Linked DNA regions of Saccharomyces cerevisiae S288C. The gene in region 1 interacts genetically with each later gene. Each region holds a gene or a part of one and is shown in the gene's direction. Other genes may lie near its edges.

Region 1 (5,032 bases):
TATATGCCCACTTATGTTTGGCTCTATTAAATGGCTACGTGTTTATATAGTACCGTTTATGACGCTGTATTTTTATTTACACTGCTTTCCAGGAGATTAAAGAGCGGAGTGTTAGTCAACTCTCACGACAACAACAGTTATATCGTCTTCTTTACCACCGCTGTAGTTTTTGCCAGTTAGCTTAGAAATCTCTTGCGCAAAAACACTGGGGTAATTGGGGTCCTTGCTTAAACTGACAACATTGTCCACAAACTTCTGGGATAATAGCTGTAACTCATCGTTTGTTCTCGCAGCGTTATCCTTCAGAAAAAGCTCAATATCATCTGTGGCAATATTATCGGTTACACCATCGGTAGCCAATATAATAATATCCTTTTTTTTCAATTGGAAGCTATATTCATCAGCGTCTCTGGGGGTGTTTAAAATATACTTGCTACCCCTTCTTTCGGCCTCTTTCAACATTTCTTCTGGAATGATTGACAATTGGTAAGGAGCATTAAATCCAACAGTTTGAAACTTTGTCTGGAATACAAGTTTAGAATCTCTGAAGACTCCACACCAAGAATCACCCAAGTTGGCAACTTCCAATTTTCCATTAGATGGGAAGTGAGCCACAATGGCTGTTGTCCCACCAACCTTCACTACTTTCTCATCCCTAATTTTTGCGTATGCAGCACCAATAATTTTCTTTGGCGTTAAAAGCGTTTCTTTGGATGAATTTTCTGCTAAAGCAGTGCTTATTTCGTCCATTTTTTTACACAATTCTCTTGAGATGGCGCTGGAGTCATACCCATGCTCAGCCCATCCTCCAACACCGTCTGCGACACCGGCAAAAATATCGTGAACGTTGTTTGATGTAACAAAATAGTTGTCTTCTCCTGTAGGTGATCTAATAGAATCCTTTAGTTTTTGGTATATCAGATCGTCTCTGTCTTTTGGTTGGAAAGCTACCGCGGTTTTATAGGTGAACGGGCCTGATTGGCTACCTGAACTATACGCATCACCATGACTGTTGTTCGATTGATACCCACTCTTGGCACTTGAGTAAAAAGTCCTCTTGGAAAAGCTGATGATTTGACTGCAGGATCCTATGATATGAGAAAAGTTAGTCTCTGAGTCGATTAGCATTTGTCCCGCAAATTTAGCAATTAGCACACCAATGAATAAAACAATAAACATACCATAAAGGGGACCTCTCGAGACCCTCAAAGTTCTAAATCCAACGTTTGCAAACATTTTTGGTGGCTTTGTCGTTTGTTTTCTGGACCGCTTTTATTGCATGTGTCTTTTACATTTGTTTACTGTCAAAATGAAGCTCGCGTGTAAATTTGTAGATTGATTACAGAAAGATGTAGCTGAAACCAGCCAAGAAAGAACAATTAGCACATCTCATTTTATAGAGCCTCAGTTTCTGTCGTACGACTGTTGCAAAATATGTAGGTGGAAGTGGATTTTTAAATTACGTTTAAAACGTAGATTGCGAGTCACTGAATGGCAGCAAGCTTATTAAAATGATTAATTTCTAATTTTATTGTGATATAGGCAACTTTGGATAGAGGAAACAATGAGCCGTAAGAGTGCTAGTTACTGTTTTCGCACCGCCGCAATCGTATAGGTGCGTTAATGGCAGTTTAAAAGCTAATACTGCTTACATGAATGTCAACGGCGCCAGCATGGTCAAATAACCGGCAATATGTCCTGCTTCAAAGTTAAATAGTTTGAAGTATTTAGTGCAAAAGTGCCATCTTCTTTCTGGGGAAAGTTTTAAAGATAACATCGTTATTGGTGTAATTTTGAACAACTGCATGATCATGAGTTTACTTGAGAAAGATGGCTTTATTTACTGAAAATCTGCTACTGAATAGAAAGCGCTCTTAAAATCAAAAGGAGAAGAGAACCAAGAAAAAAATTACGCAGATTGTGCCAATTCCAAGATGAGCTGATGCACGATATTTGCAGAAATTTATAAAATGGAAAGATCTGCAAAATATCACGAAGACATCAAAAAATACGATCTTTACACCCAAGGTATTACAGTCTTTGGGTAATGAAATTATCAGATTTGATGGAGGGCTTTTGTGATAATCCTTCTAATTCATAACAAGAACTTTATACGGTACACATGTGGAGAAACAATTTCCTTACTTAGATTTCTTAAAATGAAAGATTTAAAACACATAGAGGAAGCTCAATGGCCGACGCCAACTCAGGATGACAACGGTTTGTTTGTGAATTTGGATGTTTCAAACTCGGATCAAAAAATTCACAACATAATTGAACGGTTGGTCAGGAGAACGAAGAAGTTTTTACAAAGGCTCAAGTATAAGGAATGTCCTGCGCAACGTAATATATACCAGAAGGTCAATCCCAGCCTTGACGTAGTAATATGCCCTTAAACCTCCAGAAAATTCCCCCAATATAAAGTATTGCCGGGAAACAGCATATATACTTACAACAAATAGAATCGTTGGCACCGACATTGAAGTGGACTATGTTCCCCTATGAATTGTTCATAGTAATATTGTAGAAGACCCTATTGTTCTTGTAATTCGGGTAATATATTTGAAATTGTACAATATGCCTATTTAGGGATATCATTAACTGACTGCAGCGGTAATGATCAACTAATGCTCAACAAAGAGTCAAAAATACGGCAACAAACTGGTAGTAACGGTAGGACATTTTCAAATTTTCAATGTCTGACGATTTGAGAAGAAAAATTGCTTTATCCCAGTTTGAGAGAGCCAAGAATGTTCTAGATGCGACATTCCAAGAAGCATACGAGGATGATGAAAACGATGGTGATGCATTAGGTTCCCTGCCATCATTTAATGGACAATCAAATAGGAACAGAAAATATACGGGCAAAACCGGTAGTACTACTGATAGAATTTCAAGTAAGGAAAAGAGTAGTTTACCCACTTGGAGTGATTTTTTTGATAATAAGGAGTTGGTAAGTCTTCCTGATAGAGATCTGGACGTAAATACATACTATACATTACCTACTTCATTGTTATCAAATACCACTTCAATTCCCATCTTTATTTTCCACCATGGGGCGGGCTCCTCAGGTTTATCATTTGCAAACTTGGCCAAGGAATTAAATACTAAACTAGAAGGAAGATGCGGATGCTTTGCATTTGATGCTAGGGGGCATGCAGAAACAAAGTTTAAGAAGGCTGATGCGCCTATATGCTTTGACAGGGACTCTTTTATCAAAGATTTTGTAAGCCTGCTAAATTATTGGTTTAAGTCTAAAATAAGCCAAGAGCCACTTCAGAAGGTATCTGTTATACTAATTGGTCATTCCCTTGGTGGAAGTATATGTACTTTTGCGTACCCTAAATTATCAACAGAACTACAAAAGAAAATTCTTGGTATTACTATGTTAGATATTGTAGAAGAGGCTGCCATTATGGCCTTAAATAAAGTTGAACATTTTTTGCAGAATACACCCAATGTATTTGAATCAATTAATGACGCTGTCGATTGGCACGTTCAACACGCGTTATCGAGATTGAGGTCAAGCGCCGAAATTGCTATACCAGCTTTATTTGCTCCGCTCAAGTCAGGGAAAGTTGTCAGGATAACAAACCTTAAGACCTTTAGCCCTTTCTGGGACACATGGTTTACCGATCTGTCGCACTCCTTTGTTGGCTTACCTGTTAGTAAATTATTAATATTGGCGGGAAACGAAAATCTCGATAAAGAATTAATTGTGGGGCAAATGCAAGGTAAATATCAGTTGGTAGTTTTCCAAGATTCCGGGCATTTCATTCAAGAAGATTCGCCTATAAAAACAGCAATCACTTTAATTGATTTCTGGAAGCGGAACGATTCTAGGAATGTAGTAATCAAGACTAATTGGGGTCAACACAAAACCGTGCAAAATACATAAGGGTTAAATATCACTTTTATATCTTTATTTATGATAGAATAAATAACAGAATATATGAACTCGTGGAAAAGTCTTATTTTGCTGTGAGCACTTCTTCTGTGCTAATCAATAGACATAATGTCAAGCGTTGAGCCTTTATGTGCTTCACACTGCTCGACAACTTCATCAATTTTTCTTGAAGCCCATGGAAATCTTGGGTTGATTAAGAAAGGACGTAAGTCAAATCTGTTGTCTTCTGGTGAATACTGTTCAGCATGATAACTAGGAGTTAAAACAGTTTGCTTGTGTCTGTTGATGGCATAGAAGAAGAAAAATCTTTTCACCTTTTCAGATATTTGACGAGGTGTTAACTTTGGGGACCATTGATGAAGAAGTTTTAAGAACATAGAATAAGGACCACATTTTTCAACCTTTCTTAGGTAACCAAACACGCCCAATTCTTCATACGTCATCCCCATATCTATCTCATCCGATTGAACGTAATCTTTAGTCATAGGTTCTAATTCTGCAGTTGGTGTAGCGTTTAAAAAGTCATTCAAGATTGGCATGTTATATTGTTTTGATGCGTAGGCAATGAATCTTTTCAAGTCAGTTTTTGAAATACCCCCAATAGGGTTGATATCTGCGGAGGAGCAGTCATATTTTGTTAGATACCCACGTAAGCACTCATCAACATTTGCGCTACCAAGTACTAACAATCCACCCGAGTTTGGGATACCACGAACCCACGGCAACAGTTGCGCAAAAAGATAAGAAAGAACCATTCTTAGACGCGCCTGGATGTTTTGTAAAGCCAAGTTCTCGATTTGAGATCCCCCAAATATTTTGTATATTGGTTTTTTGCCAGTGGCTACTTCGAATAAGGACACCACACTGGATACCAATGAGTCCATCTTTAAATCCACGTGGTAAGATCCAATTGCATTGGAAAGGTCCTTTGCTCTGTTTCTTGTCTCCTTGGATGAATTTTCCGTACCCATGAAACAGGAGTGAAATATTTTTGAGGCTAGATCCTGTGGACTGTCTGGAATCCAATCATCGCCGCTACGTGTTATCTTACGAACGTCTTTGATAACTTGCTCATTTCCATTTTGAGCAGCGTCGGTCACTAAACGGCACATAGAGTGGACAATC
Region 2 (4,393 bases), on another chromosome or scaffold:
TACTTTCTAGTTGTCAAGTACTCTTTCGTTCTTCTTAATTGTATCTCAATTGCATTACAAATCCATCCATTTCACTCGACGGTGGTACAATAAATTAAAATGAAAAAAATCTTAGGTGTCAAGAAACACATGTTTTTGAAATACTTGGCTGTAATTTTGATAGCTGTCCAATTCAGTTTCGACTCCTGTGTATATCTCTCAAGTGTGGTTGACTACATCAAAGAAGTAAGTGTTAATGTAAATCTAAGATAATTTCAATGAACTAGTATGCTAACAATTTAGAGAACGGAGAAACCAATCCGGACAAATTCTTGTTCAGAATTCAAGCCATTTCTGCAGCAGTTCAAGTTTTTGTTTCATTCATTATTGGGGATATTGCTGCTTTTCTTGGGTCCATTAAATGGGTAATAGTGGGGCTTTACTTTTTATCCTTTGTGGGTAATTTTTTGTATTCATGCGGCGGTGCAGTGTCGCTAAACACCCTTCTCGGTGGGCGTATTATATGTGGTGCAGCATCTGCTTCTGGTGCTATAGTGTTCAGTTACATCATGTCAATTGCACAAGATAGGGGTATCGTTTTCAAGCTTCTATCAATTTATCGAGCAGCGGCTGGTATCTTCATGGCGTTGGCACAATTAATTGTCATATTTTTTGGATATTGCGATTTTAAAATTAAAGGGTATCGCATTGCCTCTTACAATGCACCGACATTTGCCTCCAGTTTCATAATTCTTGCAGTATGCCTTTTATTAGTTGTCGTTCTGGAAAATCCTGAGGTTAAAGTTACAAATTCGGAAAATAGCCTTTTCAGTGCTCTGAAACAATTTTTTAGAGTCGAAAGAAAAAAACTCATCTCCTGCTTGATTTTACTATGGAGCATGTTCCTATCGTCATTTATTATGAGCGAAGTAGTTTATTTTATGCCACTATTCCTGACGCTCCACGTTAACTGGGACACCAAGTTTCAAGGCATAGCGTTTATGGTCGCATCTATACTTGGTGTGACTGGAAGCTATTTCGCTCCAAAGTTAATAAACGTCGGGTGCTCCTGCGGCAGAGCCAAAGATGGCGGATTAGAAGAGTCAGATACAACTGGAAGTGAGACCGTTGAGGTAAAGAAAAAAGATTCGCTGTACAGCGGTCAAGTTTTTCTGTCCATCTTTGCATTGTTTGTTTCATTGCTGGGACAAGCTTTTATGATTGGAGCATCCGAAGCCTTGAAGCATAAATCAATGCCACCCACAAATTCTGGTATATTTTTTTCAGCTGGGATGTCGATTACATTGTTAGGGTACAACTTTTTGGCTTCGAGCATTCCAGCCCTTTTTTCCATGTACATCGACCCCAAACTCAAGGTCCAGTTGATGCCTTCAATTGGAGCAATCTCTGGGATTGGTAAACTGGTGGCACCGATTGTATTAGCAGCTCTTTATGGCACAAGATTGGGGCTTTCAATTGCGGTTGGATTTGGTATGATTTTGGTAGCTGTTTCAATTCCACCGCTTATTTGGCTCAGGAAAAAAAGGTGTTAGATTTCCTTAGACATATACTGGTCCAAATCCAGCTATATATCGGGTGCCATTGACGTATATTTTTTCGAAGAACTTGGACGACAAAAAGTCAGCCTCTTTTTTATGGCGTTCTATCAACAAATTTTACATTTGGAAATGATAGTGTATTATCTTTACCATTTCTATAGTGATATATCCGGACTAATCTTTTAGCGGCCATAAATAAATATTACTAATATTTAAAGTTTCCTTCTGATTTATTCTTCTATTATATTCAAACCAGTTGTGGAAAAGTGTGTGCCTCTTTTATATGGCACTTTATACTGAATGATGTAATCAGTTTGCATGGACGCCAAAGCTTGTATTTTAACCAAGGTTTTTTAGAGTTTGGCCGCTTCAAAGTTAAAGACGTTAGGCAATTCGCATAACCTTTTCTTTAATCTCAATATATTATTCTAATCTTATTCTGCAAATTGTCATTGGAATTCGCTTCCGATTTGCTGTACTGCTTGCTGAATAATATCTGCTCTTGCATTGGCAGGTGAGAAATGAATACTATCTTTTAAGGATGTTGGTTTATAATCTCTCGGAGACTAAAAACCAACTTCTCAAAATGATTTATGTATTTGCCCAAAGTTAAAATTGCGTGTTTCCAATTACGTATGCGATATGTAAAAAAATTAAAAAAGTGAATGAATAAGCGACTTTTCGAGTTGCTATTTTTTTCTTGGTTCAACAGAAGTAAAATATAATCAACCATAAATAGGAGAATACAGGCGGTGCTTACAGCTTGATATTTTGTTACCAAGTCAAGATCTATAATAATAACTCAATACATATATGTTAAAGTTAACAACAACATCCGTTACTTTCCACGTACTAAGATATTTCCAACTTGGCTTATCTGTAACTAACTTGTTGTTAGCTAGTTTTGCCATAATCACAAACTATAAAGTGGATCGAATCCTTAGATTGAGCTTAGCTGTTTCAATCATATCTTCAGTTTATTTTGGGATTGTGAGATTTTTGCCTGTTCTGTTAATATTCGTGATGGAAATTGTTCAGACCGTCCTGTGGTTTACCGCTTTCGTAACTCTAGCTTCAAAATTTGGTTCTATGTCCTGCTCAAGTATGCCACGGGGTATAAACTTTGATTATTCAGGTTCTTGTAAGATTGCTAAAATAGATATTTTACCAGAAGCCGTTTTATTCATACTATTTCTCGCTACCACATATGCTTCTTATATCACAGTCCTATCTCAAGCTAAGGAAAATGGGTCAAGCACAAGATCTGTTTTGAAGGCTTGTGTGAAGGCATTACGTGATACCGTGGACCGCTTGGAGACCAGTCTGGAAGAGAGTGAGCCTCTTTTAGATCTTGAAGTTCAGGAAGATGCGAGGACTGAAACCGAAAGCATTGAGGATTCAACTGATAGTGAGGATAATGCTAACATCGAACAAGAGAAAGTGATTGATGGTTCAATTGAGCATTCTTCATGATGAACCAAATGTCTTGTAGTGCATGCTGTTTCTGACTTTGCTTAATGGATTTTTTTAGTTCGACGATGTTCCGTATATTTTAGAGGCACACACTTTCACTTTTCCTATGTTGAGTAATGAAGGCATTTGAAGTTACGGAACCTTATAGGTGTCAGCACGCTGTCATTCCAGATAATTTTGTGTCTCCCTTACCTCCACATATGAATTTGGAATACCAATAATTACCTCTTAAAAGGTTTCAGAAGACGTTTACTATTTAATTCTTAGCTACACATCATATAGTTATTAATTCAATATATTACTTTTGGTACTGCATTCTAAAACACTAAAGTATAACCTCCGAACATTATATAGGTGTTTATTGAGTTATTTTTTGAAGAAATAGTCCACTAGAAATTGCTTGGGATGCGGGATTCCTTTTTCTCTTGGTCCTTACATTATACACCAATTTTATCTTTATAAGAAAATACAGGTAGTTAAATTAAGTACATGAACGCTGAAGATCGATTGGTTCATATTCTATCGGCAATTGGTGTGTTATACAATTCAGAGTTACTAAATATGAAGCTTCTGTCATCTTACGTATGATTTTTCTGCTTTTTAATACGATTATTTTTCTGAAAAAGTGTTATTTGAAACAACTTAAGCCTCAGTAGTTAGAATCAATCAACAAGAGTCCCCTAAAAAAGGCGCAAACCATCTACGTTAATGAAATTACAACAGTTAGAGGATATTATACATTGAGTGTTTACTTAAATATGAAAAATTGTTCACCAGGCTTGGTATTCCTCCAAGTATTCAATCATTCTTGATGGGTTTCTGATAACAGCTTTGGCAGTTTGATTTCTAGCGGTGTCGACGAAAATAGGTGGTCCGCAACATACGACGGCAAGTGAACCAGAATGGTTAACAGATTCATTTAGTATTTCTTCAACATTTGGCCTTCCAACATGGAAAGTGGCAAATTCTAAATCGGAGATAGACGTGTCATTCAGGGAAAGAGGTAGTTCTGTATTTTCACTTTCAGAAGGAGCTTTTTCTGAATTGCTTAGACTAGATGGGGCCTTCTCTGCTGTCGTTTCACCGTTTTTGACTTCATTTGAGGAAATTTTTTCAGCCGAAGCTAGCTCTTGCTTAGAATTATAAATGTGAACTTGAACATTCAAGCCCTTTAATGCCATTAGTTCTTTCTTACACGCGTTGAGCATGTCTAGTCCTCTTACTGCTATGACTAACTGTACAAAGTTTTTACCGCTTGCAGCTGTTGTCTTTCCTAATTCAAGGGCATGAGAAATTGGACCGGGAAGCCCTGAGCCACCTGCCAACAATAATACATTATCAAAGCGATGGGCGGTGGACTTGGAGCCATAAGGGCCTTCGAT
Region 3 (4,236 bases), on another chromosome or scaffold:
GAATTATTAGAATTGTATGCTCTGTACAAGCAAGCCACTGTAGGTGACAACGACAAGGAAAAGCCTGGTATTTTCAACATGAAGGACCGCTACAAGTGGGAAGCCTGGGAAAACTTAAAAGGTAAATCCCAGGAAGATGCCGAAAAGGAATACATTGCCCTTGTTGATCAACTGATTGCCAAGTACTCCTCTTAGAAAAGGGGTATACTAGCTCCATGTAAGGAGTTTTGGCCTAGCTTTCCTTGTTACTATTCTATTATTATATTTTATTGGCTGCAAAAACGTGACTTATGTACATTTATAAATGCCCATATCCCTTACTACTCTCCCTGGGGACAAGGCGTAATAACTGTTAATAAATGCATATACTCTGTTCTATTTAAATTCTCGGGGTTCGCTGGAATATTGAATCACAATTAGGGAGATTCGCATGTAATTTACGCCGAGAATGATACTGATTTGTGTTGAATATGACAAGGTTTAGCGGAAACACGCTCTTGAAATTTTTAAAGATATTTTCATGATTTATATACAGACTGATCTGTATACATTTTTATATTGTCATACATAGGCTTTAATAACTACTCAGTTTTTTTTGATGGCGGCAGAAGCAGCGCTTTCATTGCTCTACACAAATCCGCAATTCAAGTGACAGACGCCAAACTAGTGGTACAGTACACTTACTGAAGCGCACCATGTATACCCTGATCTACATCTAGAGCTTGTTCAGTTTTTCTTTATGCTTTTAATTACGCCAGGAAGAAAACCGTTCTTACGTGGTGGATGAAATAGGAGAATTCGGGTTTCTGGGAAAACTTAAAATTTCTTGTTGGAAAAGTAGAAAGAAAAAGAAAAGTTTGCCTTCTGAGAAAATGCTACATATGGTAGAGACATCAATCGATTGCTCAACACGCGTTAAAAAGGGGAAAGTGATTGCCACTGTGATCACTTTAAATCATTTCTTCGTTCTCATTCTTTTCGTCTAATTTTCTTCTCTACCACTCATTATACCAGGCATTTTATCTACATCAAAATTTGTTTTGAATCGGATCATATCATGAATAGTACCGCCGCTGCAATAAATCCAAATCCAAATGTTATACCATTCGATGACACATACATTCTCTATGATTCGCATGACTTTCTATCATTCCTTAGTGCATATTTCTCGCTGATGCCCATCCTAGTGCTAGCTTTTTATTTGTCGTGGTTTATCATCACAAGAGAGTTAGAAGCCTGCATTGTAGCCTTTGGCCAATTGATGAACGAAATATTCAATAACGTGATCAAGAATATAATAAAACAGCCACGCCCCGTATCGTTCGGTGCGTCGTTCCAAAATGACACTATAAGATCCGGTTACGGGATGCCCAGTGCACACTCCCAATTCATGGGGTTTTGTTTTACCTATAACTCTCTGAAGATATACACTTCCTGGAAGAATCTAAACTTCTTAGAAAAATGCATTTTTTCTGGTGCATTGGCTTTATTATCGTTTTGCGTTTGCTTTTCCAGAGTTTACTTGCACTACCACAATTTAGATCAAGTAATCGTGGGATTCAGCGTGGGGGCACTGACTGGATCACTTTATTTTTTTATAGTTGGCATCATAAGAGAGCTTGGTTTAATCAATTGGTTTTTAAAACTACGTATTGTCAGATTATTTTACATGACAGATTCTTACAATCTGGCGCCTTTGACATTGAAAGAGAATTACGAGGCGTATTGGAAAAGAATAAATCAGCGATCTTTCAATGATAAATCCAAAAGGGATTAGGTTGAACATTTCATTTTTCTTATTTTTTCATCTATTTTAGCGAGGCGATCTTGAGCGTTTGTGTAACTGGATAAAACTTGGCAAGCTGGAGTAGTCCTTATTTCTCATAAAGAAAGCCGAAAGCCTGCTCTCCTACAGTTATTAATTAAGAACGCTCGTTTTAAACAGTTACTGTGTAAAGCGACGGTAATCGAAAAAGTATGTGACATCGTGCAAAAGAAGATAATCAAAACCATGCAGAACGTAGAATAAATGTGAGTTCTATCACTTGCGGAGATAATACCCTCTGACGCCGCGGGGCCGATTGTTCCACGGAGGGAAAGAATCGGCCCTCGGGTTTTACGAGAGCGCCGCGGGTGAACTCACTTTTTTCTCGAGAAGAAGTTTCCTACGGCAGAATAAGACCCTTTTCCACGGATAATCAGCGGAGCTTCTGGACATAATAGATGGTTTGTGAAAAAGCTTAAGGAAAGCCGCGGATTTAGCATGTCACCCACACTTAGATTACGAAAGCAAGGATTGCAGAAAAAAAGATGAGATACAGTTTTGAGGGCAATATATAAAATATATAAATATAGCAACATTCCCTTCTCTCTGTTATGTCCACAATACTTCTAAAAGTTGTAACATATATCTATACATAAAAACTTGTAACAAACATATAATTAAAACAACTAGTGACAAGACGGAAGTTATAAGTTATCTTCTCTACAGAAACAATACGTAATGTTACTCACACCAGCCAAGACTACAAGAACGGAAGACTCAGCAAACTCAACAGATGACAGCAGTAAAAGCAGTAATTCATTCATGCGTGCCATAGTTTCTTCCCTTATGGTTAAGCCCATAACATCTCTGACTAATACAGTCACATGCAGACAAAGTTCCCATCACAATAGCTCTCCAAGTAAAATCACAAGATATGATTTAATCAAAGCTGCTGCTGAAAATGACTTGAAAAGGAGTAAGTCTCAGGGACGAGAAAAATCCAGAAGAAACTCTAATCGTAGAAATAATGAAGAAATTTTTGTGGCCAATACTGCTTCAGAAATCCAACGGACTAAAAGTAGCATATAGCAACCCTGAGGTCAATGTGCTTAACTACTTCTTTGCATCTTCATTGTCTCTAAAAAGATTCATATCCTCATATCCATTCGCATCTTACTCATCTTCATAATCACCCTATGTACATATATATATTGTCATAAATATACTAATAATTAACAATCACATTTTAATATTGGAAGTTTTCTCATTTTCTTGCATTGAATTCATGCATCTGCCGCTCAGCTAGAAACAAGCGCATTCGTCTACCAACCAGCCCTTGAGACCCGAAGGCAGAATGTGAGAAATTACAATTTTATTTTTAAAGAAACTAAACTAAACTAAATTGAAATTGATAAAAAATATACATAAAAGAAACACAGGATTTATTTATTGTATTTTTTGTATGATCTATGTTAAAGTCGAGCTAGTTTATTCCAATTTACCACCCTTTCTTTGGATCAAAGCCTTTCTGTCCTTGTCCAAGTGTAACTTAGTGATAACAAGCTTGGATGGGTGCAAGTTAATTGGAACGGAAGCACCGTTGACCTTTTCCTTGGTGACCTTGTCAACTTGAACAGCAAACTTCAATCTGTAAACAGATGAAATCTTACCTTCTTGACCCTTCTTGGAACCACGAACAACCAAGACTTCATCGTCTCTTCTGATTGGCAAAGCCTTGATACCATATTGAGCTCTCAATTCCTTGGATAATGGAGCAGATAACAAAACACGACGTTCAGAGGATGGAGCAGTGAAATAAGCCTTTCTGGCCTTTCTTCTGTCAGAGGAAACGTCTATTGAAAACAAATAATAAAAAAATTTGTTAGTAAAAGCAAAACTTTTTTTTCACAATGAGCACATAATTTTCATCCACACTTAAATCTATGTTGCCCCACATCCAACGGAGTATGCATTTCACAAATCAATATAAACGGTAACTTCCTACTTTTCTTCTATCTCCTCTGCGTACTCACGTTTTTCAATATTGGATTCTAAAGCCGGAATTTATGTCAGCAATACACAAGCTTAAAAATCGTTGAGTGCTAAATAGTCGCCCTATGCCTGGATTGAATATGCAAAAGCTGTTTCTTTTTTTTTTTTTTTTTTTTTTTTTTTTTTTGGCTTAGGTACATTCCTCCTCATCATACACATTGTTTTACAATAATTTAACATTATTCGATTAATTGTTCTCTTGCATTTTATGTTAACATTTTTTCGTGGACGGAAATTCACTCATGTTTTCTATCGTTATTCGTATCCTCCAAACATACCTAGAGATTGCTTAGCCATATTTGATATATCTTTGGTCTTGCCGTTGTTATTCCTTAAAAAAGAAGCACTGAGAACGGGCTAATACTTTAAAACAGTAGCCAGATAGCTATTGCTACTATTAATTTCCAAACACTATGTGT

What was found. A genetic interaction does not mean that the proteins touch.
Region 2: mutations in PPE1 (region 1) and YNR061C together harm fitness more than expected from each alone (negative genetic interaction), as found in Saccharomyces cerevisiae (one large-scale study listed by BioGRID).
Region 3: mutations in PPE1 (region 1) and YGR035C together harm fitness more than expected from each alone (negative genetic interaction), as found in Saccharomyces cerevisiae (one large-scale study listed by BioGRID).

The regions. Positions count from the first base shown.
Region 1 is NC_001140.6:247,305-252,336, reverse strand, and holds PPE1 (phosphoprotein phosphatase methylesterase 1), read left to right. Parts: upstream 1-2,695; coding exon 2,696-3,898; downstream 3,899-5,032. Other genes in the region: type 2C protein phosphatase PTC7, read right to left, coding at 112-1,088, 1,182-1,236; QNS1 (glutamine-dependent NAD(+) synthetase), read right to left, coding at 4,000-5,032. UniProt on the Saccharomyces cerevisiae protein: Demethylates proteins that have been reversibly carboxymethylated. Demethylates the phosphatase PP2A catalytic subunits PPH21 and PPH22. Forms inactive complexes (PP2Ai) with phosphatase PP2A-like catalytic subunits.
Region 2 is NC_001146.8:741,499-745,891, reverse strand, and holds YNR061C (uncharacterized protein), read left to right. Parts: upstream 1-2,351; coding exon 2,352-3,011; downstream 3,012-4,393. Other genes in the region: PUL3 (Pul3p), read left to right, coding at 549-1,532; FRE4 (ferric-chelate reductase), read right to left, coding at 3,782-4,393.
Region 3 is NC_001139.9:555,690-559,925, reverse strand, and holds YGR035C (uncharacterized protein), read left to right. Parts: upstream 1-2,503; coding exon 2,504-2,854; downstream 2,855-4,236. Other genes in the region: long-chain fatty acid transporter ACB1, read left to right, coding at 1-195; CAX4 (dolichyldiphosphatase), read left to right, coding at 1,058-1,777; YGR035W-A (uncharacterized protein), read right to left, coding at 2,140-2,361; 60S ribosomal protein uL24 RPL26B, read right to left, coding at 3,254-3,618, 4,096-4,114.